Linked DNA regions of Danio rerio. The protein of the gene in region 1 purifies or fractionates together with the protein of each later gene. This does not show direct contact. Links are inferred from orthologs where the notes say so. Each region holds a gene or a part of one and is shown on either strand. Other genes may lie near its edges. The genes, in order: rela, kpna3, tnip2, map3k8, carm1 and daxx.

Evidence for each region.
Region 2: the proteins of rela (region 1) and kpna3 purify together in Homo sapiens (affinity purification with mass spectrometry; 4 studies listed by BioGRID and IntAct, with this or other methods). This does not show direct contact. The link is inferred for Danio rerio from reciprocal best matches to the Homo sapiens genes RELA and KPNA3.
Region 3: the proteins of rela (region 1) and tnip2 purify together in Homo sapiens (affinity purification with mass spectrometry; 4 studies listed by BioGRID and IntAct, with this or other methods). This does not show direct contact. The link is inferred for Danio rerio from reciprocal best matches to the Homo sapiens genes RELA and TNIP2.
Region 4: the proteins of rela (region 1) and map3k8 purify together in Homo sapiens (affinity purification with mass spectrometry; 5 studies listed by BioGRID and IntAct, with this or other methods). This does not show direct contact. The link is inferred for Danio rerio from reciprocal best matches to the Homo sapiens genes RELA and MAP3K8.
Region 5: the proteins of rela (region 1) and carm1 purify together in Homo sapiens (affinity purification with western blotting; 4 studies listed by BioGRID and IntAct, with this or other methods). This does not show direct contact. The link is inferred for Danio rerio from reciprocal best matches to the Homo sapiens genes RELA and CARM1.
Region 6: the proteins of rela (region 1) and daxx purify together in Homo sapiens (affinity purification with western blotting; 4 studies listed by BioGRID and IntAct, with this or other methods). This does not show direct contact. The link is inferred for Danio rerio from reciprocal best matches to the Homo sapiens genes RELA and DAXX.

The regions. Positions count from the first base shown.
Region 1 is NC_133182.1:1,094,741-1,098,934, reverse strand, and holds the start of rela (transcription factor p65), read left to right. Parts: upstream 1-1,394; 5' UTR 1,395-1,446; coding exon 1,447-1,453; exon of another isoform or gene 1,454-1,675; intron 1,676-4,194. UniProt on the Homo sapiens protein: NF-kappa-B is a pleiotropic transcription factor present in almost all cell types and is the endpoint of a series of signal transduction events that are initiated by a vast array of stimuli related to many biological processes such as inflammation, immunity, differentiation, cell growth, tumorigenesis and apoptosis.
Region 2 is NC_133176.1:50,010,958-50,014,993, reverse strand, and holds the start of kpna3 (importin subunit alpha-4), read left to right. Parts: upstream 1-1,236; 5' UTR 1,237-1,264; coding exon 1,265-1,333; intron 1,334-4,036. UniProt on the Homo sapiens protein: Functions in nuclear protein import as an adapter protein for nuclear receptor KPNB1. Binds specifically and directly to substrates containing either a simple or bipartite NLS motif.
Region 3 is NC_133176.1:40,471,500-40,475,774, reverse strand, and holds the start of tnip2 (TNFAIP3-interacting protein 2), read left to right. Parts: upstream 1-1,475; 5' UTR 1,476-1,875; coding exon 1,876-2,196; intron 2,197-2,655; coding exon 2,656-2,949; intron 2,950-3,037; coding exon 3,038-3,127; intron 3,128-3,305; coding exon 3,306-3,584; intron 3,585-3,717; coding exon 3,718-3,834; intron 3,835-4,275. UniProt on the Homo sapiens protein: Inhibits NF-kappa-B activation by blocking the interaction of RIPK1 with its downstream effector NEMO/IKBKG.
Region 4 is NC_133187.1:25,362,868-25,367,103, reverse strand, and holds the start of map3k8 (mitogen-activated protein kinase kinase kinase 8), read left to right. Parts: upstream 1-1,436; 5' UTR 1,437-1,463; coding exon 1,464-1,495; intron 1,496-2,430; coding exon 2,431-2,752; intron 2,753-3,267; coding exon 3,268-3,438; intron 3,439-4,236.
Region 5 is NC_133178.1:33,005,879-33,009,378, forward strand, and holds part of carm1 (histone-arginine methyltransferase CARM1), read left to right. Parts: intron 1-829; coding exon 830-955; intron 956-1,108; coding exon 1,109-1,215; intron 1,216-1,371; coding exon 1,372-1,476; intron 1,477-1,858; coding exon 1,859-1,969; intron 1,970-3,500. UniProt on the Homo sapiens protein: Methylates (mono- and asymmetric dimethylation) the guanidino nitrogens of arginyl residues in several proteins involved in DNA packaging, transcription regulation, pre-mRNA splicing, and mRNA stability.
Region 6 is NC_133194.1:8,077,659-8,081,158, reverse strand, and holds part of daxx (death domain-associated protein 6), read left to right. Parts: coding exon 1-91; intron 92-1,229; coding exon 1,230-1,346; intron 1,347-2,420; coding exon 2,421-2,652; intron 2,653-3,500. UniProt on the Homo sapiens protein: Transcription corepressor known to repress transcriptional potential of several sumoylated transcription factors. Down-regulates basal and activated transcription.

The DNA.
Region 1 (4,194 bases):
TAAGAGGTGATTCTTTTTGGACCTTTTTGCAGTTATTCGTCTCGTTTTCTATTTAATTATGAGATTTAAATACTGTATTTAGCTGTCATTTAAACTACTATGTTTAGCTGGATTAGCTTGTTGGGTGGTCATTATAACCACACTTTTTGATGTACCAAAAATATTTATTTTAGGGCTGTCTCTCATCCCTGTATGAACAGAGTAGGAGTCTGATTCGCATTGCCAGCAATACAGTTGAAGTCAAAATTATAAGCACCCTCCCTGCTGACAAATCCAGCCTAAACCAGTCTAGGCTGGTCGACCAGGCTGGTTTAAGAGGGGTTTTGGCCACTTCCAGGCTGGTTTCCACCCATTTCCAGCCAGGTCTTAGCTGCTCAGGCTGGGAGATGACCAGCTAAAACCAGCTTGACCAGCCTAGCCAAGCTGGGAGTCCAGCCAAAACCAGCTATATCCAGCTTAAACCAGGCTGGTCAAGCTGGTTTTTGCTGGATTTGGCTGGTCATTTTCCAGCCTGACCAGCTAAGATCAGGCTGGAAATGGCTGGAAACCAGCCTGGAAGTGGCCAAAACCCCTCTAAAACAACCTGGTAGACCAGCTAAAACCAGCCAACCAGCCTAGGCTGGTTTAAGCTGGATTTTTTAGCAGGGCTTTGCATCTGTTTTCTTTTTTAAATATTTCCCAGATGATGTTGAACAGATTCAGGAAATGTTCACAGTATGTCTGATAATATTTTATTCTTCTGGAGAAAGTCTGATTTGTTTACATGTCACATTAAGCTGTATAGAAGTGTCTTGAAGAATATCTAGTCAAATTCACTGTCATTATGATAAAGAGAAAACAAATCAGTTATTAGAGATGAGTTATTAAAGCTATATGATTAGAGATATGTTGGAGAAATCTGCTCTCTGTTACACAGAAATTGGGGGGAAAAAATAAATAGGGGGCGAATAATTCTGACTTCAACTGTATTTGACAAATTCTGGACCCTAGTCATTTAGGGCTGGGTCTTCTGAACCGCCCTGGCTACAGGCCTGGATAGTTTACTAGATAGTTGAATATAAGTTAGATGATTATGTCAGACTTTTCTTAGTGAAGAAGCCAAAAGTATTCTCATTATTTGTCACCAAATACAGTATATTATTCCAAAAACAGTGAATATGTAACAAGACATCTGAGTCCATATCTTCATTTGACATTGATTTTGGTCGACAAATAAGTTTGTATTGCTAAATACTGCCCATAAGCTAATCTACAGTGCGCGTGTGTTCTCAGCAGTCGTGTTGGTGATGATGAATCGCGTCATCCGGGTATTTCCGCCCACGGGAGCGCGCCTGCTGTAGTCCCGCGGAGGCGCGCGGAAGGAAAGTGTTGTCGCGGTGTGTCGTTTATTTTTCACCGTCGCCCGGAAACGTTAAAAAGTGACCGAGAGCTGTGGAGACCCGCGACATGGACGGTAAGTCGAGCTTTAATGCCGGGTTTCTGCATGTGAACGGCGCCAACGGGGGGTTTGCGGTGTCGCGCGGAAGGGAAAGTCCCGCCGCTAAACTTTTACTCTCGGTTTCGGCTGAGAATCGATCGGTCCCCTGTCTCCGGGGCTCAGGTCGGTAAACGGGTCACGAGAATCAAACACGACAACCATTACAAGGCTGCAGAGCTGACGTATCGCGGCCTACAGGTGTGTGTGTGTGTGTGTGTGTGTGTGTGTGTGTGTGTGTGTGTGTGTACACAAACAAACAAAAACACTTTCAAATACTTGTCAAAAAGTCCTCAGAGATCACGCGATACGCGGAAAGTGGCTTGTTGACAAGGTTACGTTAACTTATGTTACTTTTCCTGGTAACGTTAACTGCTAAGTTCTGTGTGGGTTGGTTAATGCTAGTTAGTAGCTAGTAAACTTCATCGCCTGTGTGAGCTAACGTTAACTGACGTAGCGAAAGTAAAGATGCACTAACGTGATATTTGTATTATGTGGCTGCTTGTTCATTGTGGACATCTGACGATAAACCTGTTTAGGGGTGTGTTGGCTAGTTCTGGTTATAAACTCATCTCCTTCATGGACTCACTGATTTAGCACAGGTAAAGCTACTCAAAGTATATCTATACTCTTTATTTGGTCACTTGTTCATTGTGAATGTCTGATGATAATACTCATGTTTAGAGTGGGTTGGTTAGTGCTAGATAACTAGTAGTCAATGAACGCCATTATTAACTCTTTGATTTAGCAAAAGTAAAGGTACTTTGTCACAATATTTATGTTGTTTGCCCACTGGTTTATTGTGAATGTCTGATAAGGAACATATTTTGGGGTGGGTTAGTGCTAGTTATGGCTAGTAGTCATAATCACCTTTGTGAACGCACTGATTTAGCGTGAGTAATGCTGCTTGTTTATTTGGCCACTTGTTCATTGTGAATGTCTGATGATAATACTCATGTTTAGAGTGGGTTGGTTAGTGCTAGATAACTAGTAGTCAATGAACTCTATTACGAACTCACTGATTTAGCAAAAGTAAAGATACTTTGTCACAATATTTATGTTGTTTGTTTGCCCTCTGGTTTATTGTGAATGTCTGATAATGAACATATTTAGGGGTGGGTTAGAGCTAGTTATGGCTAGTAGTCATAATTACCTTTGTGAACTCACTGATTTAGCGTGAGTAATGCTGCTTGTTTATTTAGCCACTTGTTCATTGTGTATATATGATAATAAACATGTATTAGTGTTGGGTTGTTTAATGCTAGCTAACTAGTAACCAAAGCCACCTTTTTGAACTGGTTTAGAGAAAGTAAAGCTACTCTATTACAATTTTTGTGCTGTTGCCACTGATTCATTGTGAATATCTGATGATAAACCTGTTTAGGGGTGGGTTGGTTAGTGCTAAAAAACTAGTAGCCACCTTAATCAACTCACTAATTTGGCAAATGTAAAGCTACTCTATCACAATAATGACCACAGGTTCATTGTGAATATTTGATAATAAACATGTATTAGTGTTGGGTTGGTTAGTGCTAGCTAACTAGTAACCAAAGGTACTTTTGTAAAGCTACTCTATTACAATATTTGTGTTGTTTATTTGGCCACTGATTCATTGTGAATATCTGATGATAAACATGTTTAGTTGTAGGTTAGTTGGTTTGTGGTAGCTAACTAGTAACCAAAGCCATGTTAGTGAACTGATTTAGAGAAAGTAAAGCTACTCCATTACAATATTTGTGTTTCATTGTGAATGTTTTATAATAATAATAATAATCATAATAATATTAATAATAAGCATGTTTGGTAATAGGTGGGTTGGTTCGTTCTAGTTAACCTGTTAAAGTCTCCTTATATAGAGTAAGTAATACTGCTCAAAATGTTGTTTGTTTGGCTGCTTGTTGATTGTGAATATCTGATAATAAACCTGTTTAGGGGTGGGTTGGTTAGTGCTAGAAAACTAGTAGTCAGTGTCGCCTTAATGATCTCATTGATTTAGCAAATGTATCACAATAATGGCCACAGGTTCATTGTGAATATCTGATAATAAACATGGGTTAGTTAGTACTAGTTATGGCTAGTAGTCAAAGTGTCCTTTGTGAACTCACTGATTTAGAGGATGTAATGCAGCTTGTTTATTTGGCCACTTGTTCATTGTGAATATCTGATAATAAACATGTATTAGTGTTGGGTTGGTTAGTCATAGCTAACTAGTAACCAAAGTTACATTTGTGAACTGATTGAGAGAAAGTAAAGCTGCTCTATTACAATATTTGTGTTGTTGTTAGTGGTAGGTTAGTTGATTAGTTCTAGTTAACTATAGGCATTGGTCGGTATAAGATTCTGGCGGTATAATAACCTTGGATAAAGATACCACAGTTTCATGGGATAGTGATTACTGCTCTAAAATATATTCTTTTTAAATGTCTGAGTAAAAAACTAAAAGTTTCCCTTTGAATACAATATATCTTAATTTGAGAAGTATTTAATATATTTTGGAGCAGTAAACATGTCAGGTTGAATAATTCAATGAGTCACTGACCTCTGCTGTCTTCATTCATTTATTCATTTTCTTGTCGGTTTAGTCCCTTTATTAATCCAGGGTCGCCACAGCGGAATGAACCGCCAACTTATCCAGCAAGTTTTTACGCAGCGGCCTCAACCCATCTCTGGGAAACATCCACACACATTCGCACACACACTCATACACTATGGGCAATTTA
Region 2 (4,036 bases), on another chromosome or scaffold:
GTATATCGTTCGCTGATTGGCTCCTGTACTAGAAAGTGGGCTTTATTCACCAAATAGTGATCGCTGATTGGCTCCTGTACTAAAAGGCGGGGCTTCATTTGCTATGTCAAACAGCAAAGAATTACTAAGAGGCGACACTCTAGTGCAATTTGGGAAACAGCCACTTGATGGCGCAGATTTTGTAATGGAAACTCCAATAGAACAACAGCATATTGTAAGTCTGAAAAATAAACTATTAAAAGTGCTGCTGATTGTCATAGTAAGTGCTGTATTTTCGTCTTTCAGGTTGGATCTCAGCTTTAATGCGCTTTTTAAATAAATAAACAAAGCAGCTGCTTGCCATCGCGGCAGCAATAAGATCTAATGGACAGCCGATCGCTTTCCCTCCAAAATGGCGGAATCTGTTGCTGGGCGCTGCTGTTGCAATGGAACGTTTTATTGTGTGTCGTCTCTTGGTCTTTCTTTGGCTAATAATAAATAATATAAATCATTTTCGTTATCCTTCACCCGCAACCTGATCAAGCAACAACCATTTCCAGGCTGGTTTCAGCTATTTCTGGTCTGGTCTTAGGTGGTTAGGCTGGTTTTAGCTGGTCATCTTTCAGCCTGACAATCTAAGACCAGGCTGGAAATACAGAGATAGAATTTTCTATGGAGTTTCTGTGCTCTGCAGTTGCCTTTAAATGGCCTTTCATCTTATTTTAGGCCTATGTTTGAACGACTAAACGAATGCCTAAGTCTTTTTAATGGACTATATTTTAATTAAATTAGCCTACATATTGATGCTGAAAAAATAACATTATGAAATTGAAAATAGTCACATTAACCTTTATTTATCAGCGGCTGAAAATCGCTTTAAAACTAACATTTGCTCACTATTTACTCACCCTCATGTGGTAAGGCTATAAACCTTTATCAGTTTCTTCTGTTGAACAGAAAAATCATTGAAAGCAGGAAAAAAAGAATAATATGGAAGTCAGAGGTTACAGGTGTTTAGCTTTCTTTGAAATATATTCTTGTGTTAAACAGAAGAAAAACATGGTTTGGGAAAACTACAGGGCAAATAAATGATGACAGAATTTCAGTTTTGGGTGAACTATAATGTGACTCGAGAACCGCTCATTTAGCGAACCGGTTCATTAAAAAATCTGACTCATTGAATCGCGAATCGGACGTCGCTACACCCCCCGCCCTCCTCTTCCTCCCCGAGCGGAGCTCCGCACGTCGGTCGGGACTACAGGCGCACACACATACACACAGAGCCATGGCCGAAAACGCCGGCTTGGAAAACCATCGCATTAAGAGCTTCAAAAACAAGGGGCGAGATGTGGAGGTAAGTCCGCTGGAGAGTTTGAACCCTGGGCTTTGTTTCGACTCGTTTTCTTCCCCTTGAGCCTGTGTGGTTCTGGTTTTATGGTGTCAGAAGGGAGCGGGTGTTTGTAGATCCAGCAAGAGCATCATGGGGAGCGGGCGCGGCCTACATAGAGGCCTCTTTAAACACATTTCCCTTCAATATTCTACAGCTCATCGCGGTTTATACACGGATTTTGGCGGTTGTACTGCTTTGTCTAGTCGTGTAAAATCAAGACGGATTTGTTTGTTATGTTGGTTTAGTAACTCCGCACATAGTTTTGCATTTATAACTGCGCTGGGCCAAAACATGCAGATTTATCGTGCTAGCATCTATGCTAAATGGTTAGCAGTCGGCAGCTAACTTACTCGTCTAATTGATACGTTTACTCGTGTTTTGTCGTGTCCACGCATTTAACATTCATGTATACAATTAAAACGCCTTAAACATGAGCGAATAACGTAAAGTATAACTTGTGAACCAGATACATGCGCCAGAGACAGGTGTGTTAACACCGGCTTTAGCAAGCTCTCCAGAACTGAACTAGTGACCAGTCACACCTCAACATCTGACCTCCTTAATGCTTGTTCAGTCACGCCAGGTTAGCAGCCCTTCTGTAGGGGATTTTAACAAACGTGTTGGTTGATCTGAGCCGAAAGGGGTTGTTTTAGTGAAGATGTCATTGTGAAATGTCAGCTGCTTAACTTCTTTTCCTCTTCAAAAAGATTGCCTTTGGTGTGGTAGTTAGCTTCCCCTGTAGATACACCTGAGCCAAACAAACCTCATTTTATTTTCCTCAAACTGGAAAGGAAAAACTCCAGATGGTAGTGTTCACCAAAATCTAGGCTGTATCAAAGCGACCTAGAAATATTAGTAAGCCAGGATGTGCTGTAAAAATGATGCATTATGTAATGCAACAACTGAGTTTTTCTGTATTCTCCACAATTGCCCATAACTTATTTTTAATTTCAATAATTTCAGTTATCTTCTTGGTTAACCTGCATAAAGCTGGACATGATGTATGACATTTTTACCCTGTCATTTGCCTCTGCCAGTAAACAGAAATAAAGCTGTTATGTAAAGCCTAAGCACTTTCATTATCAGTCCTCATATCAAATTAATAAATGCAAATGACAGTACTGTATATTGATTCAGCTTTAGCTGTTATATGCTGTACACTTACAGAGCATGGAGATATATACTCCATAGCTAGTTTCATCTGGCTCATTGTTTATATTACAGCAAAACGATAATTGTCATGATATATATTTTTTTCCGATAATGACCATATATTAAGTGTTCGATAATGTTTATACACTATGCGTAACTAACGCTGCACAGGCATTTTGCAGCCTGCACTTCCGGATGCCGCACGTAGTAGTAGTTTACAGCCATACAGTGTAAGTTGGACTTGGAGTTAAAAAAAAAGGTCACAGGCACTAGCTATGTTGCCCACCACCTATTTTAATGTGCATTTTGGAAATATTCATAAAAAATGGTTGATGGAAACGCCAAGATGCGCATATATTTTGAAAATGCACAAAAAAAAAACATGTGCATAACTGGATAAACTTTTTATTAGTTAAAAGAATTTGCATAAACTATGATGCCGCAAGTTATTTATTAAATGAATAAAAGATTCACAAAGCTTCTACCGCTGCAAATTTCGTTTTTACTTTTGATTTTTGGCGGCGGTTAATTAGGAAGTTACGATTTTATTCTCTTTGACTCGTTGGATGGAAACGCTGCTTTATTCGCACTTCATTTATGCGATATTCCAGTTTTGTGCATAAAGTTAATTAGAATTTTTGGATGGAAACATAGCTATTGTTAACTAGAAACGTCACTAAACTTCAGTAGTCTGGAGCTATATAGTTTTTTGAAATCCAACACAAAACAGAGCAACGTGCACTGCAAACTGTTAGACGCCTAGGGCCAGACTGAATCTGCGGACATTTTTTGCTATTTCTGCACAGAATTTTGTTAAAAATCTTTGGATTTATGCAGAATGATTTTGGGAGTATCATAACTAAAACCCTAATATATGAACTAAAAAGTAATACCCTTTTAACTTGTGTTTAATGTTTACTGTGCAAATCCAATTAGATCCACTTTATTTGGGAAACAAAGCAAGTCTTCTATATATCTTCTACTATATACTGATATATACACCATTAACTCACCTTGTACTTGTTCCAAACCTGTTTCACTTTGTTCTGATGTTGAACAATAATATACAATAACTTGTAGGGTAATGTCTAATCCTGCGAAAAGATTATTTGATTGTTTATATTATTTTATTTATATTGTCAGACAGCTTAAATCAGTTGCAATGAGATTGGCATGCTGAAAATCCTTTTAAATTAATAGATATAAAGATGTGACATTTATCGTCATAATTATTGATATCGGCTGAATGAAAAAAATGATAGTGACAATATATATGACCAAAATAAAATGAACTCGACTACATGATCAAACATAGTTAAGTTAAATAGTATCTATTTGAAGACGTCAAGAGGACCATCATTATTAGAGACTGAACTTACATTCAAATGGGTGTTATTGTAATCAAGGTGCTGCGATCACATTTTTGATGAACTCATTTGCTCTCGTACCCTGTTGATACTAGACATCATTATCATCTTCTGCCGTGGGCTCATCTGCGTAACCCCTGAGGTCTCC
Region 3 (4,275 bases), on another chromosome or scaffold:
GGTTGCCTTTTGTTTTTCCCAGCCGTTCTTAAATGCCAAGAAGTTGCAAACGCAAGCACTTCTACATTCCATCCTCAAATGAAAGGGTTGCCCTAATGTGATCCAAGAGTAATTACCAACTTCATTGCCTATAATTTCACAGATTTACTTCATACCTCTGCAGAAGCATGCCTAAACAATAAAAAATGTGTATACACAGCTGAAATGGCTGTTGTGTGAAAAAGCACCTTCAGCTGTGTTCTTATTGTGACAATTATATTTATATACATGTGCGTGATTGACTTATATTTATGAGTAATATATCACGTCTGTCAAATGCGTGTCAATGCTGTTTTGATACCACAAGATGGTGGCAAACTTTAAAGAACAGTTTTGGACTTTCCCTAGGCAGAACATCATGAACTCACACAAACATTACATGCTCAACGGGACTTTCTGCCGTTTCATGTGTGCTGCTTTTGGCAGAGGGATAAAGATTCTTCGCACTAAGAATGAGGGTTTAGACATTGTAAGTTTGTTAATTACTGTGTAATTAAAATGACTGTTTTATGGTTCAATCTTCAGATCACAAACTAAGCACCGTTGGCTTTCATTGTCTAGACAATTGACAAGATGTGATCCAAGATAATGGCAGGCATTATCCATTATGAAAAGAGGAATGGTATGAGATGGAATCTTTTAAGAAAGGGGAGTTTTAGGCAGTGTTATGTTATTTTCATCCAAATATTCAAAACATTTTTAAAATAATAATTAAAAATACTATTTGGTAAGATTCACATTAATCTAAATATTTTTAGATTATATTAGATTAGATTATACTAAACATTTTTAGAAATATTTTTATTAAAAATACAAAATATTTTTTATTAAAAGTTAATTTGATTTAAATAATTACACAGGCAAAAATGATGAGTAGAAATGATATATATTTAATGTATTTATTTATTATTTATTAGTCTTGAACAAGAATTATCTTTAACATTTTAGGAGGGGGTCCTATGGTGGTGGTGTCTGAAAGCCTCTGGTAAACAGACTAACAGAAAGGTAAACAGTTTCGGTTCCCAATGGAAACAAAACAATGGAGCTAAATAGGAAACAACATGTTACAGCTTTCTTTAGCTAAAGAATTCCGTTTTGTAAAAGGGTTAATCTTATTTTTGATATTGGACTACGTTATACTTTAAAGTGTGGGATATTTTTATAATAAGCTATGGTGTGAATAGACTCCTGCTTTCGATTTTGAACTTTACCTACGTTTCCATATGTAAAGATTTGTCACCTGTCCAAGTTCAACTGACTACTCCCTTCACGGATGCTACTTGAGAATACTGTGCGTGTTAAACTGCTCGTTGTACCGTGTTCGGGAGCGACGTGACAAACTTAATCGTTATAACCAAGGAAGCTAAAAGCAAACGTTTAACCACCACGCGCGTCACTGACAGTATAAAGTAGCATGCTGGTCGCGCGCAATCCTCGTCCACGCGCACCAGGCGGCGTCAAACTGAACTGTAAACTTAATCCGACACGAAGGAGCGAGTCGACTGTCTCTTAAACGTGTAAAATCACTATTAAACCGCACACGACTCGACAGTTAACTCGTTTGAAGGCAAAACAGCGCCTGTAACCCCAACTATTCTCGACGTTTTATGTGCAGTACAAAAAATATACCCAGTTTGAGATGGGGGGAAGTCCCCGTGAGGAAATCCCCTGTTCATAATTTCGAAATTGAGTGAGGCTCTCGCAGACTGAAACTGCTCTGAAACATTTTGGTCTAACATAAGTTACAGCAGACGCCTGTGAGCCCTATGACACTCAGACCTGTACAATATATGGGAAATTTGTACTATATGTGCTCGTTTTAACGGATTGCTCAGCATGGATGAGATGAAGAGGGAGAACGAGGCGCTGAGGGCGAAGTTGCGCAGCTGCTCTACTCTCAACACAATTTACCACGAAACACAGCAAGAAATTGCTCGTTTAAATCAGTTGGTGACCTCCAAAGACGGGATTATTGCCGATTTGAGGGCAAGACTGGGGAAGTATGAGAAAACCGTGGTCATTGAGGGAGAGGAACCTTATATTGTAGGGCCATCGAAGTCACTCATCGAAAGTTTGTGTAAGGAAATTTGCAAATTAAAGCAAAAACTGAAGGATTTAGAGAAAGACACTGCCCAGAAATTGGAAACCAGAGACAAAGTAAGTTAAACACAATTCTGAATTAATAATATGAAATAATTAATAACATTTTCTCTACTAATTAGAGTAAATTTGTTGTTTTTCTTGTCAGTATACTTTTCCAATGACTGTAAAAGAACTGTAAAGTATCCTCTCTATAAAATACTCCAATTCCTAACTCAAGAAATTGTAATGAAATTAATGTTATATCACAAAAACAAAACATGTAAACCAGCTTACAATGTGTTGCTGGTCTTAGCTGGTTTATGGTGGTCTTCAAGTCAGCTAACATTAAGTGCCTTTGAAAAACTGACCAGAAAACTTAAGTTTAAGCTTTGTTTTTCTTGCTTGTTTGTACTGTTAGTCCGGCTTTTTATGTACAACTTTGTTCATGAATACAGAATATGCTTTAGTTTTGATGAAACAAGTGCATTTCGTGTTCACCTTCTCATTTGTGAATCTCCCGACTGCTTGTTTAAGGAGATCCAGAGATTGCAGGAAAAGTTGAAGGAGAGGGATCAAGAGTTGCTGACCATCAGGGAAAGACCAGAGCAGGAGAAAGAGAGGGAGATCCAGCAACTGCGCACCACATTGGCCGAAAGAGATCGGACACAGGCCACCAGGACTGTACTTTGCAACTCTCTTGCTGAAGAAGCCGATCAGTTAAGGGCCCAGTTGGGGGCCACTGTGCAGGTGTGTCAGGAGCTTTTGGGACGGCTGGAAAACGAGAAAAACAAAACAGCCATGACGGATCAGAGAACTCAAGTTCATGAGGTGCGTTGTGGAAACTGTCAGTCTGCAACATTTAAGGCACCTTTAAAACAGCTGCCTAATGATTATATTTGACCTTATATTTTATCAGACATCAGATTCCCCCGAAGTTCCCCAGCTAAATGTCATCATTAGCAAGTTAGAAGAGGAGAACGACCAGCTCAAGAAGAGAGTGGCATATGTAAGGATCACATGATGGAACTGTTGTTTGATCATCACCCTCTGACATTTGTTTTACCTGTGTCATATGCTGAAAATGTCATACTGTAACTGTTACGGAAAGAATCAACAGTGTAAAAAAATTCTTGGAAAATGTCATGTAATTTTTTCACATCACAACTTGTTTTGTTCCATTTCAGGTGGAAAGTTTAAACTCAAAATGGCAGAAGTATGACTCGAGTAGAGAAGAGTACGTGAGGGGTTTGTGTCAGAAGTTGAAAGAGTCAAATGGACTGGCTTCCGCAGATCCGACTCTAACCCAAGCCCCGACTGCGGGACACGTGGCTTTGTTCCAGCAGGAAATTGTGAGACTCAACGGCCTCCTGCAGGACAAGATGATGGAGTGTGAGAGATTCAGTAGAGAGAGGGATGACAATGCGAGAAGAGACCAAGAGCAGATACAGATGCTCGAGCAGCAGGTCTGTATCCGTTCAGTGTGTACAATCCTATTAAATAGGAAGTCGTTGTATTTTTGTCATAACAAAGGTGAGAAGTAGTTTTGTTGTTTGGCTTGCTGCCCATAACACAAATGGCTTACTTGTACACTCACAGGTTCTGGCCTATGTTGAAGACTTTAAATCGGAAAGGGCAGACCGAGAGAGGGCTCAGGGTAAAATCATGGACCTTCAAGATGAAGTTGGGCGACTTCAGCTGCAAATACGTTCACAGGCAAGTCTAATTATTAATTATTCATCAAGGTATTTAAAAATAATTTTAAAATATGCATTGTATCATTTAAAGTCCCAATAAAATCATTTGTAGCATTCTGATTTAGCGTTACAAAATAAATAAATGGACATAAGCATTTATAAGTTGTATTTGAACAAACACGACAGGGTTTTTTCTGGCACAAAATAAGCCGAAGATGGAAGATGAAATGTTTGCTACTTGAAACAAGCACATTTTGCATTCTTTTTAGTAACCCACTCAAGTTAAACATGTTCATATTTAAAAAGGCAGATATTATATGCAACTAAATAAATGACCAATGCTTGAGCATCACTTGGGGTCTGTTGGTTGCCGTGACTGCATGCCTGATTGGTCAAAAGCTGGAGGTGGTGCAAAAAATTATGGAGGTGGCCACCTCACAATTCTCTTTGCAGGAAAAAC
Region 4 (4,236 bases), on another chromosome or scaffold:
TGGAATATCCTTCCTGATAAGGTACGAGGCTCAGGCACACTCTCGCAGTTCAAAACTAGATTCAAGACCTATCTGTTTAGTAAAGCACACACAATGCATCACTTAGCGGTATGGTGAAGTTTTTTCCTCGCCTCTGTTGCCACTAGCTTGCATGGTTCGGGATATGTAGGGCTGCGCATCAATGGATTTACTCTTCATTGTTTGAACTCTCAATAGTGATTATTAAACCACACTGGACTTAGCTAAACTAAACTGAATTTAAACTTTAAAATCTGAACTACACTGTTTCAATCTACTATAATCTTCTATGTGAAGCTGCTTTGACAAAATCTATATTGTAAAAGCGCTATACAAATAAAAATGAATTGAAAATTGATTTGAACTTAACTAATATACTAGGTAAAGCAGCCGCTTATGGCCCCAGCGAATTAGGGGCCCCAACCTATGTCAGGATGCATATTAATCATATCTCTTTTAATAAATTCTCTTTTATATGCTGTAAAATCTGCTTATAACCTTTAAGATTTTAACATTATTACTTTTTTTCCAAACCAGGGGACCTCATGAACAATGGAATATTCCTTTCTTACTGCACATGCAAATTTTAAAAACACAAATATGGCTAATTAACTGTACATACTTTGTTCTAATAAATTACTTGTTATTTATTTGCAAATTTATTGTATTTCATTTAACATTAAGAAGATAAAGAATGCAGTGCAATATAAATATTTTTAACATGCAGATTTTATTTACAAAAAAATAAATAAATAAATAAAACAATATCTATAAAGAGAAAAAAAAGCTTAGAGCTTCATTACTAGGGCCCCCCAAATCACTAAAGCCAGCTACTGCTTATTAACCAAATGTATTATTATGGCAGCTTTGGCATTCCATAGCCTACTACACTAAGGCGCCGTTTACTTTCGGGGAAAAACTGAACTGTCAATCTGCAGCCTGGATATCCCCCAATTTGAAAACAGCGTTTAGATATTTTGATACACTTAAGACAATCTTGTCACTATTCGTTATCTGGATTCCCTGACACTTTCAACAAGTTTAGAAGTTTTGAAATCTCTTAATGAGCGAAAACAACAAAAGGACACATTTTTTGCTGGGTCAGCGGACTTCACTCATTTCGTATATAGACCAAAACTAGTTAGCTTCTGTTTACTACAAGATGGTTTCAACAAGGCAACTTTTCCTTTGGCGCAAATTAATCATAAAGATGAAAGCGAATGACATCCTCCTTCTACGGAACATTCTGATAGGGGACTGTGGCAAAATCCAAGCAGCAGATACGTGATCTCGATGAGAAGACGAGAAAACACCTCTCAGAGAAAAGAGAAAACGAAACCGCAGTGACGTAAGCGCACAGCGGAGGCGCGCAGCTCGCTGATTCCTCTTATCAGCGAGCACACGTCTGAAAAAGCTTCAGAGGGAACTATGGACAATCACTGAGTATGCGCCCTGCTGTGAACACACTGACTGAAAGGTAGGCAAACTGCTGGTGTTTTATAGATATCATTTATTTTGTTTAGTTATTTTTATGCTTCATTAGCCTATACTATTTCGAACAACGTTCAGAGTAGGCTAAATACTGTGGATTATTTAATAGGGCTTTTGGCATATGCTTGTCAGCACCCTTTCTAGTTACTCTTTTTGAGCACCGGTTCTTTTCATCAGTAATGAACAGCCTTTATTATTAAAAATTCATTATTTAACATAAACCAAAAATGGATATTCAGCGATGGTTGCCAAATCTGCATGTTAAAAACTCATCCAACTGCTATTCAAAACTATCCCCAAAGTGTCCGAGTCACACTCTTGGGTGTTAGGATGTTCTTCATTGTGTAAGATTCAAATGCACAGCAATAGGGTAAAAGTACCCCAGTTTCTAAAGGAAACAAGAAGTAAATTTGGCAGCAGTGTATAGGGTTGTATTTCTGCAATGCTTTGGAAAGTTCTGTTTTTTGTGTGTATATCAGTCACCCGATCACACCATATCAATTTAGAAACAGCACATGTAATAGGTCAAAAATGATAAAACATAAAAAAGTGATTGCATTTATTATGATTCAGCCATTCTGATAAATCATCTTGGGCTAGTCATTTTTACTGCTAGCATGTCCCTCATAATTGGTCATTTTTGACCTCAAAAATGCTGTTATATTTTGTTCTTGTTTGTTTGTTCTTGAGGAGAAAAAAGAGAGTTAATACAATGAAAAAGTTCCATTTGTCATTCATTTTAAAGATGTTTTAAGCCACCTCTCACTTGCATGCAAAATAGAGCAGGCAAGCTGTTCAGGAAACATACCTGACCACACAGCAAACATACATATGGGTGCAAAAACAACATGGATGAATGCATTCATTTCAATGTGTTGATGTTTCTAATGATCAAACATTTTGTTTTATTATTCAATCAAGGATGGAGTATGACAATGGAAATTCTTGTATAGAACTGCTTCTTGCACACATAAAAATTGAGGACTTCATTCAAGAGGCAGAACATTTCTACAGTGTTGGTGAGGTGGTGGAATCTGGTATTTCGTTTGAGGAAGGTTTCTCGCAAGAAGAGATGGACGAGAATGAGGAAACGGCACATGACCTAATTAAACATGTACAAAAGACTGGAAAGGTCCGTTATGGGACAACATCTGACCTCCTGGACTTTGTGAATATGGTCTCAAACACACCATCCTCCTCTCTTTTAGATGTTGGTAGAGAAATGGGTGTTCTGGTGAACAAGGTAAGCTTCATTGGTTCTAAAACTTACATCAATATTTGAAGGGTTTCTGAGGCCTTTCCACCAGCTTCTTAAATTAAAGCATAAAGACTTAAATTTGTATGATCATGAGAGTAAATATTGCATGCATTGAAAAACATCAAATATATAGTCAATCCTTCACAGTCTTTATTTTCAATACAAATATCTATACATCATACTGAATTATACTGAGAAAAAAATGAGCTTATTCTATAAACAAGATCCCATTTTTATCAAACTTACTTCTAATCACTGGCACTGAATAATATGTAATTTTGCATTTCAAGTAAATCTTTATTTGACATTTGTACAGGAAAACAAGACAAAGATAGGAAGAGCATTATTTTTTTGTAGTGCGATTTGAAGAGTAAAAGTTATTTACATATTCTAGTTTTGTGACCTGCTTTGGGAGTTACATAATCCCGTGTAAAGGAGTGTTTATACTTGTTTAGCAAGATAGCCTTTGGTGTCATAAACACCCTGCTTTGTCCCTACAGACAGACATGATCATTAAAGAGGGGCATTATCGCATCGACTTGGACGTCCTTCTCTTTCCGTGGAAACTGACCTACAAGCCTCAGGGCCCTGGACACGTTCCCAAAGGCTCATTTGGGAAGGTCCATCTGGCTCAGGACACCAAAACTCGGAAGCGAATGGCATGCAAATTAGTAAGTAAGGGAATGCAAAGTATGTTTGTTTCCGGAATCTTTACAGGGTTTTACTTTTTTTTTGCTTTGGCAAAGGTAGATGTTTTCACTCAACTAGGAGGTTTTTATGGACATAGCTTTCCTACTGGGAATCCGCATTCTATTATCAGTAAGGTTCAAAATATTTTTTTTAAATACTTTGAAAGTACTCTAATAAGAATTAAGCATAGAGTTCATTCATCATCATCAGCAGTTGTCACATGAAGATAAATCAAGGAAAAGACACATGATACTGAATGATGTTGTGATGAACTTATGATTCAGCATGTGATGACACATGGCTTTATTAACTACAGCCTAGTGAAAAATCGTTCTGAAAAGCGAAACAGGTTTTACAGAAACTGTAGCAGCAGTGAAAAAGTGTTTAAAAATGAGGAACAGCACTTTTGGGAAACAACACAATTTCCCTAAAATGTTCAAAGGGTCAGTATGCAGCACGCAGTGTTTTAACAGAAACTGAGAATGGCACTAACGCACACAGGAAGTGGACAGAAACGCCCCCTGTGGAAACATGCAGCCTACAAAGGCGTCTTAAATTAGTGGCAGAGTGCAGATGAAAATTTGATCTTGTGGTCAAGTTTAACAGTTGCAGTCCTCTTTTAGACGTGTGAATTAAACAGCTTGCCATGTAAGAACTGGATGGATAAACATTATTTAGTCTACAAGGAATTGTCTGCTTTGGTGGAACATGTGATTTGGTGGAACATATGACAGACAGGTTGTCCCTCTCTTGTGCCAAGAAGCATGTGATGAAAGGAA
Region 5 (3,500 bases), on another chromosome or scaffold:
CAACTCAATTATATAATTGACTACCAGCCTAATCTGTCTGTGGAAAGCTTGAGATAATCCTACAACAGCTGGGGAAATAAATGACAAAATCCCTCATCCTGGCATCACCTTTTACTGTTGCAGTGTCGAGAGCTCGCCAACTTAATGTCTTTGAACAAGGCTGGTTGGTTTGATTTTGTTTAAGCTTGTAATGGTAACATTAAATCAGCAAACAACTCCCAGGAAAGATGAGTATTATAAATGCAAATATATTTAAAGTATACACATGTATGTGTGTGCTTTTTATGTATACATAATACATATCCACAGTACATGTATTAAGTAAATAAAAGCTTTTATTTTGTAATGTAATATGGTTTTATATAGTGCATTTATTACCATACACCCAAAGCCTTTTACACTCATGTAAGGTAATTTTCGCATGCAATTAGTCACATTTAATCTTTAAACAACACTAAAATGAACTTTTTCCTCACAAATTTTTAAACAATTATTCACTTAAAAGTGAAGAAATTATCATTTATACTCCCTTTTATTCCAGTTTATTAAAGTTTTTTATTTTCCTGTGGAGCACAAATGTTAAAATCAATCTTGTTATCGCTGTAAATGCCAGTCCAGTGTTGTTTTGCACCATTGACATTGATCATTGACTGTGACTGTATGGATAATGTTTTGAAACGTACATTTTCAGAACAATTAGTTGTTGTTTCTTCACTTAAAATGGTCAATAATATCCAAACTTATGAGTTGTTTTAATGCAGACTGCCTATTAGATTTATAATAACACTGTTATTGAATTCTAAAGGAAATGTTTTGCTCCCCTCCACAGATGAGGAGACGTGTGTCTTTAAGTGTACAGTATTGCGGGAGACAGAGTGCAGTCGTGTCGGGAAGCAGTCCTTCATCATAACTCTAGGCTGTAACAGTGTCCTCTTGCAGTTTGCATCTCCAGCAGGTAAAACACAGCTTCTTTTACAAGCCCATAATCCTTCATTGTGATTTATCAGACCTTCAGACAAGTGCATCGCCAGTCAGCTGGTGTGCAAACTCAATTAAATAAAAGAATCAAGCTCGTCCTAATGTGTTCACTGCTGTTGTTTTTCACTAGATTTCTCGTCGTTCTATAACCTCTTGAAAATTTGTCGTGGACAAAAAGGCGACCGTTCAGTCTTTAGTGACAGGACAGAGGAGTCTTCAGCTGTACAGTATTTTCAGGTGTGTCTGGCTTCTTATTGCCCTGCACGTGCAGATATTCATTTGATTTTGCCTTACAAGCTGAACCATGAAGAACAAGTTTAGAGAAAATCTGACTAGCATGACCGGAATTGGCATGTTGTGAACATCTTTTTCCCTCCATTTTCTTTCTCTCAGTTTTATGGGTATCTCTCTCAGCAACAAAACATGATGCAGGATTATGTACGAACTGGAACATATCAACGAGCCATCCTCCAGAATCATACTGACTTCAAGGATAAAGTAAAGCTATTCTCTTTATTTTCTCTTCTCCTTTTCTGTGTTAAATGTGCTTACAAGTTGAGAAGTTTTCAAACTGTTTTTTCAGTGCTTATTTGAGCATTTTTTGTTCCTAAATGTCATTAGTCAGGCATTTTTGCTTTTATGACTTTAAGGTTTAGCTTTGATGTTGTTCAGACTTAAATACCTAAAGCTGGAACAGTTGACTTATTGCGACAAAGTAAAAGGGGACACCTGAGTCAAATTTATTTTGAAAGGTTGCTCTTTTTTTTGAATGATGTTTTTCTGAATGATTTCTTATTAGATTAAATCTGTGGTTTGGACTTGGTCTTGCCTTGTCTTGTGATTCTTATGCATCCTTTTATCTTTTTTTTTTTTGTCTCAGGTGGTGCTGGATGTAGGTTGTGGCTCTGGCATTCTCTCATTTTTTGCAGCTCAAGCTGGTGCCCGTAAAGTTTATGCTGTGGAGGCCAGCACCATGGCTCAACATGCAGAGGTTAGACACATTCCTCAATCACTGACATGCGCTTCTGTTCAAAAAAGGTAGATTAGTCTCTTATTTTTACCAAGGCAGCATTTTTGTATATATTAAAATTGAGTTTATGCTTCTAATGGCAAAACTGAGTTTTCAGCATCATCACTCCAGTTCTCAGTTTCACATGATCATCCACAAATCATTGTAATAGACCTATGCAAAGATGACGTTAAAAACCAAAACTCTAATTTGCCACTTGTTCACTGAAGGTTTTACAGTTTAGGAGTTGGTACTTGGAGGTTTTATTGTACAATGTGAACGTTACACACACACACACACACACACACACACACACACACACACACACACACACATTCTTACTACATTTGAAAATAAAAATAAACATTTATATGAGTAAAATATGTTTGTTGCACAGCAAAGCGTAAAAGTTTGGATAATTTATCTTTACCACAGACTCACAAATAAAATAACTCAAAGAAAAATACTTAAGGTTGTTAAGATAATTTAATAGGGTCATTTTAGCCATAAACTCTTTGTAAACGGCCCGTTGTTCTACTCTTACAGTAACTAACAGTATTTACAATATATTTTTATTTTTAAATAGAAAAAAAAATCAAAAGTCCTTTTCCTCTTGTGTTTTTGTAGGGAGGTTATTTCGCCATTAAAGTTGTTTTTATTTATTTCTGCTCTAACATGTATAATAAGTTCTTTGCTGCAGAGATAATTTTACAGATTAGCTTTTATAGAAAATAACTCTTTTAAATAAGTTTATCATACGATGCTGCTCATGCACCTAACATTTTGGAAAAACTGTGCTAAAACATGAAAACTGGGCTGATGTACTGTTCTATTGAGATTTTTTTAACGCTGTCCTGGGATATTACCATGCTTTGAAATAATCAACTTTTTATTTGCGCTTTAACACTTTTTAACACATCTATGCACAAGTACACTACCTAATGTAAAGGAGCAAATTGAACCTGATTGGTTAATGGGGTAGATGACACAGCCAGATACCAAAACTAACAGTTTAATGTTTATTTTTAGGCCGTGCTGAAAACTATCATTCATATTTTACACTTAAGGAGTCACTTTTGAGTTCTTAGTCTTGCATTGTTTTGTTGCATAGGTTTGAGGTCTCATATGAACAAAATAGGGCTGTGCGATTAATCGAAATCGAATAGCAATCGTTATTTGAAACATTTCGATTAGCGAATGGCAAAAGGCTGCTATATGAAATATATATTAACTTTCCCACCCAGACCAAATGTGTAACTGCCATCTGTGTGTGACAGTCTTACTAGCCAATTAAGTGAGCACACTTGCATTCTGCCCAATCAGAATTGCACAATCAAACTATGCGGAATGCCCAAAATAAAATACAAACAAACAGGAAAGCGCAAACGAGTGAGATGACGGTGTCTGCAGCTTTAGAAGCATTAATAGACAAATTAATATCAAAGAAAAAAACGCATGACGATAATATGGGAATATCTTGGTTTCAAAGTCACTGACACCAAACAAAACCAGG
Region 6 (3,500 bases), on another chromosome or scaffold:
GATCCGCCGGCTTCAGGAGGGGGATTTGAGTTTGGATGACTTGGAGAAAGAAGATTCCAGTTATATTCAAGAGCACAAACTTAAACGCAAGGTCAGCTTGTTTATTCCTGATTTTAGTTCTTTCTGTATTTATTTAGCCGGGACAATGCTCAAAGAGAAAAACTTTAAATTAGCCAAAGTTAGTCACAAGAATTTTAGGGCGTACTCACACTATGCTATTCGAACCGTGCCCAGGGTTTCCCGGATCATTTCAGAAGTGTGAGTGCTCTGAATCGGGCTCAGGCACGGTTAAATGTCATATATATATGAGCAAAGTGCACCAGAGGCCGAAACTGAAGATGAGACGTGACTTTTACAAGACTGTTTAATATGGCATTATTATCATTCGTACTGTTCAATGAACACAAACTGTTGTAGATTTTAAAGACGCAAACCCCTCACTGCACGACAGCTGCACCTTCAGCAAACCTCCTAATTCCTGCAGCACGAGGTCTTTATGATTGTTTATGAGCGTCAAAAGTCATGGATCTGTTCGGCGAAATATTTTACTGCGTGTCACCGCATTCTAAATGACTTAAACAATACAACTGATTAAGAAATGTCCACTGTGCTGAGCGAAAGCGCTTACTGAACAGTACAGCATCGATGACGTAAGGGTGCCCAGGCCTGAATGTAATGTGAGTGCGGGCCGTCGGGGGAGACGGAAGGGGGACAAGCGTGCTTTGGCCTGGTTCAAGGCAACTGTACAGTGTGAGTTTGCCCTTAAATTTCATCTGTTGCCTCCTGCCAGGCATATATTCGTTTTCCTTTCGGCTTAGTCCCTTTATTAATGTGGGGTCGGCACAGAGAAATGAACCTCCATTTTATGCAGCATATGTTTTACGCAGTGGATGTGCTTCAAGCTGACCCATCGTTGGAAAACACCCATACACTATTATTCACACACGTACACTACAGACAATTTAGCTTACCCAATGCACCGCTCCAACCTTAAATCAAAAACACATTACTACACATACAATATCAGTAAAATTACTTGCAACAAAAAATTAAAAAATGGCAACATTTTCTTTAAAAAAATTACATGATTACAAACCCCATTCACTTCTGCCATTTTTTTAACTTGTATTCAAAGATTCAGTTAAATCTGTTTTGATGTATAATCTATGAAATCTATAGCAGAAGTTGTGAACGTTCAGAAGTTGTTATAGCTGTTTTTGTGGTGTCAGATGATGAAGATCTATGAGAAGCTGTGTGAGCTGAAAGGCTGTAACACTCTGACGGGTCGAGTGATCGAGCAGAAGATCCCATACAGTGGAACGAGATACCCAGAGATCAACAAGAAGGTGCGGGCTTTTGCTTGGACAGTTTTTTTACTTTATTTTCATACATTAAAGCAATTTAAAAACTAATATCTAGACTCTCTAAAAAGAGGGGAGTTTTAGCTCAGGTTTTAATTAGTTTATAATAAATTCCCTTAAAGCATAGGCTAGAAAATTTGAAATAAATAGAGATTTATGTATGATAGCGATCATTGATCAGATGATTCTTTTTAATACTGTTTTATTTTGTGTGTTTATTTCAAGTAAAACATGATTTATAATATCATTGATTTGTATTTGCTTGAAGATTCATTGTTTTAGGGATCAAAAATGGTTCATAAGTATGGATTGGTTTTCTTTTAGCATCATCAAGTAACGATTGTAGTATTTGCTATAGTTTAAAATGTGTTATTTTTAGATTAACTGCTTTGAATTTAAATTATTATTGATTATGGTCTTTTGTAGTTATTTTTGATGTTATACTTTTATTTATTATAGTTTCCTGGCAGCTAGCAGAAATAAAAGTTTAGTTTTTGTGATGTATTTAAAATTATAAGTTAAGGTTTATTTAATTATTAACTAATTATTTTGGTTTTCATTAACTACTGTAACCTTAATATTTTATAATTCAATAGTGCAGAAATTAGTACATTTACTTAAATTAAATTAAATTAATTCAGTTTAATGGAATATTTATGATTTTAAAATATTTGTTGATTAAATAAATGTGTTATTTTTCGATTATCTGTTTTTAATTTAAGCTTTATTAGTTTGATTATGATATTTTCCTGTTATTTTTTGTTGTTATACTTTTATTTGTATAGTTTCTTTGTAACTTGCAGAAATAAAAATAAGTTTAGTTTTTGTCATATATTTACTTTAATTAAATCAATTATAAATTAATTTAAATGTTTGTGTTATTATATTTGAGAATATTATTTTATTTTATGTTTACATTAAATGCCTCCTGATAAAACTCAAAAATGCTTATTGAACTAGCCTATTCCAGGGGCCTAATATTAATAAATGAATCAATGTTTACCCAAACCTTTTCCTCTCTCATTATCTCTTATTGTTTCTTCTCTTTTTGTTGAGCAGGTTGAGCGTTTCATCAACAGTTCAGAAGCTCTTCTCAATCCTCCAGACTACAGCGATATCCTGAAGATTGTGCAGAGAGCCAACGAACGCTACAATCTCCAGCTCTCCCGCAAACAGCAAGCACAGATCTCCCAAGAAGCCTTCAGAGAGACGGGCAACAAACTACAGGAGAGACGACACCTTGACATGGTCTACAACTTCGGCTCTCATCTCACAGATCCATACAAACCAAGTAAATCAGTTTCATTTAATAACTGTCTAATTCAGAAGGAAAAGCTCATATTGTAATAATCTAATGACTTGAATTTTTGATGATTCAAACTAGGGGTGGGCATTGATTGAGATTCTGATTCATAAGCAATCGATTCAGTAAATGTAGATTTAATCCGTTTTAAAAGTTCTATTGCAGGCATTAAAAGTCGGGGGTTTTTTGTGCAAGTTATGGATTTTTATTTATACGTTTTAAATAGTACTTCCCATTAATCAAAATATAATTAAATTACACTGCTCTTGAGTGAAAAGTAAGGTGTCTGGGTCATGGAAATTTAGCGTTTTAGTAGGTGAAAATCAGAAAAGTCAGGGAATTTGCTAATCAAATCACTTTTATTGTCGCATCATCAGCAGCATGTGTGCTATGATGAGTGAAAAGCTTAGGTGCTGACTCCAGACACGACAAAATACAGATACAGTGCAAATACAACGACAGTGCAAAATACAGACAGTGCAAACACAGTGACAATGTGAAATTGACAGCGATATGTACAATGAATAGGTGTCCACATCGTTGTAGGTAGTTTTGTTTCAAGTATGGATTGGTTAAAGTGCAGTGCATGCTACATTTTGATGGTTTGCTGTAAGGGTTATGGAAGAGTCTGTGTGTGGGTGTGTTAAGTGTTCATCAGCCTGATAGTCTGAGGGAAGAAACTTTCCTTCAGCCGGCTGGTGCATGACCGGATGCTGCATACAGTGGAAATACAAATACTTTAATACAAATGCTATTGATATTTCTAGAAAGTGATCAGGTGCATGTGTATTTTATTTGACTTTTTATCAGATGAATGTGAGAAGGAGTGATAATAA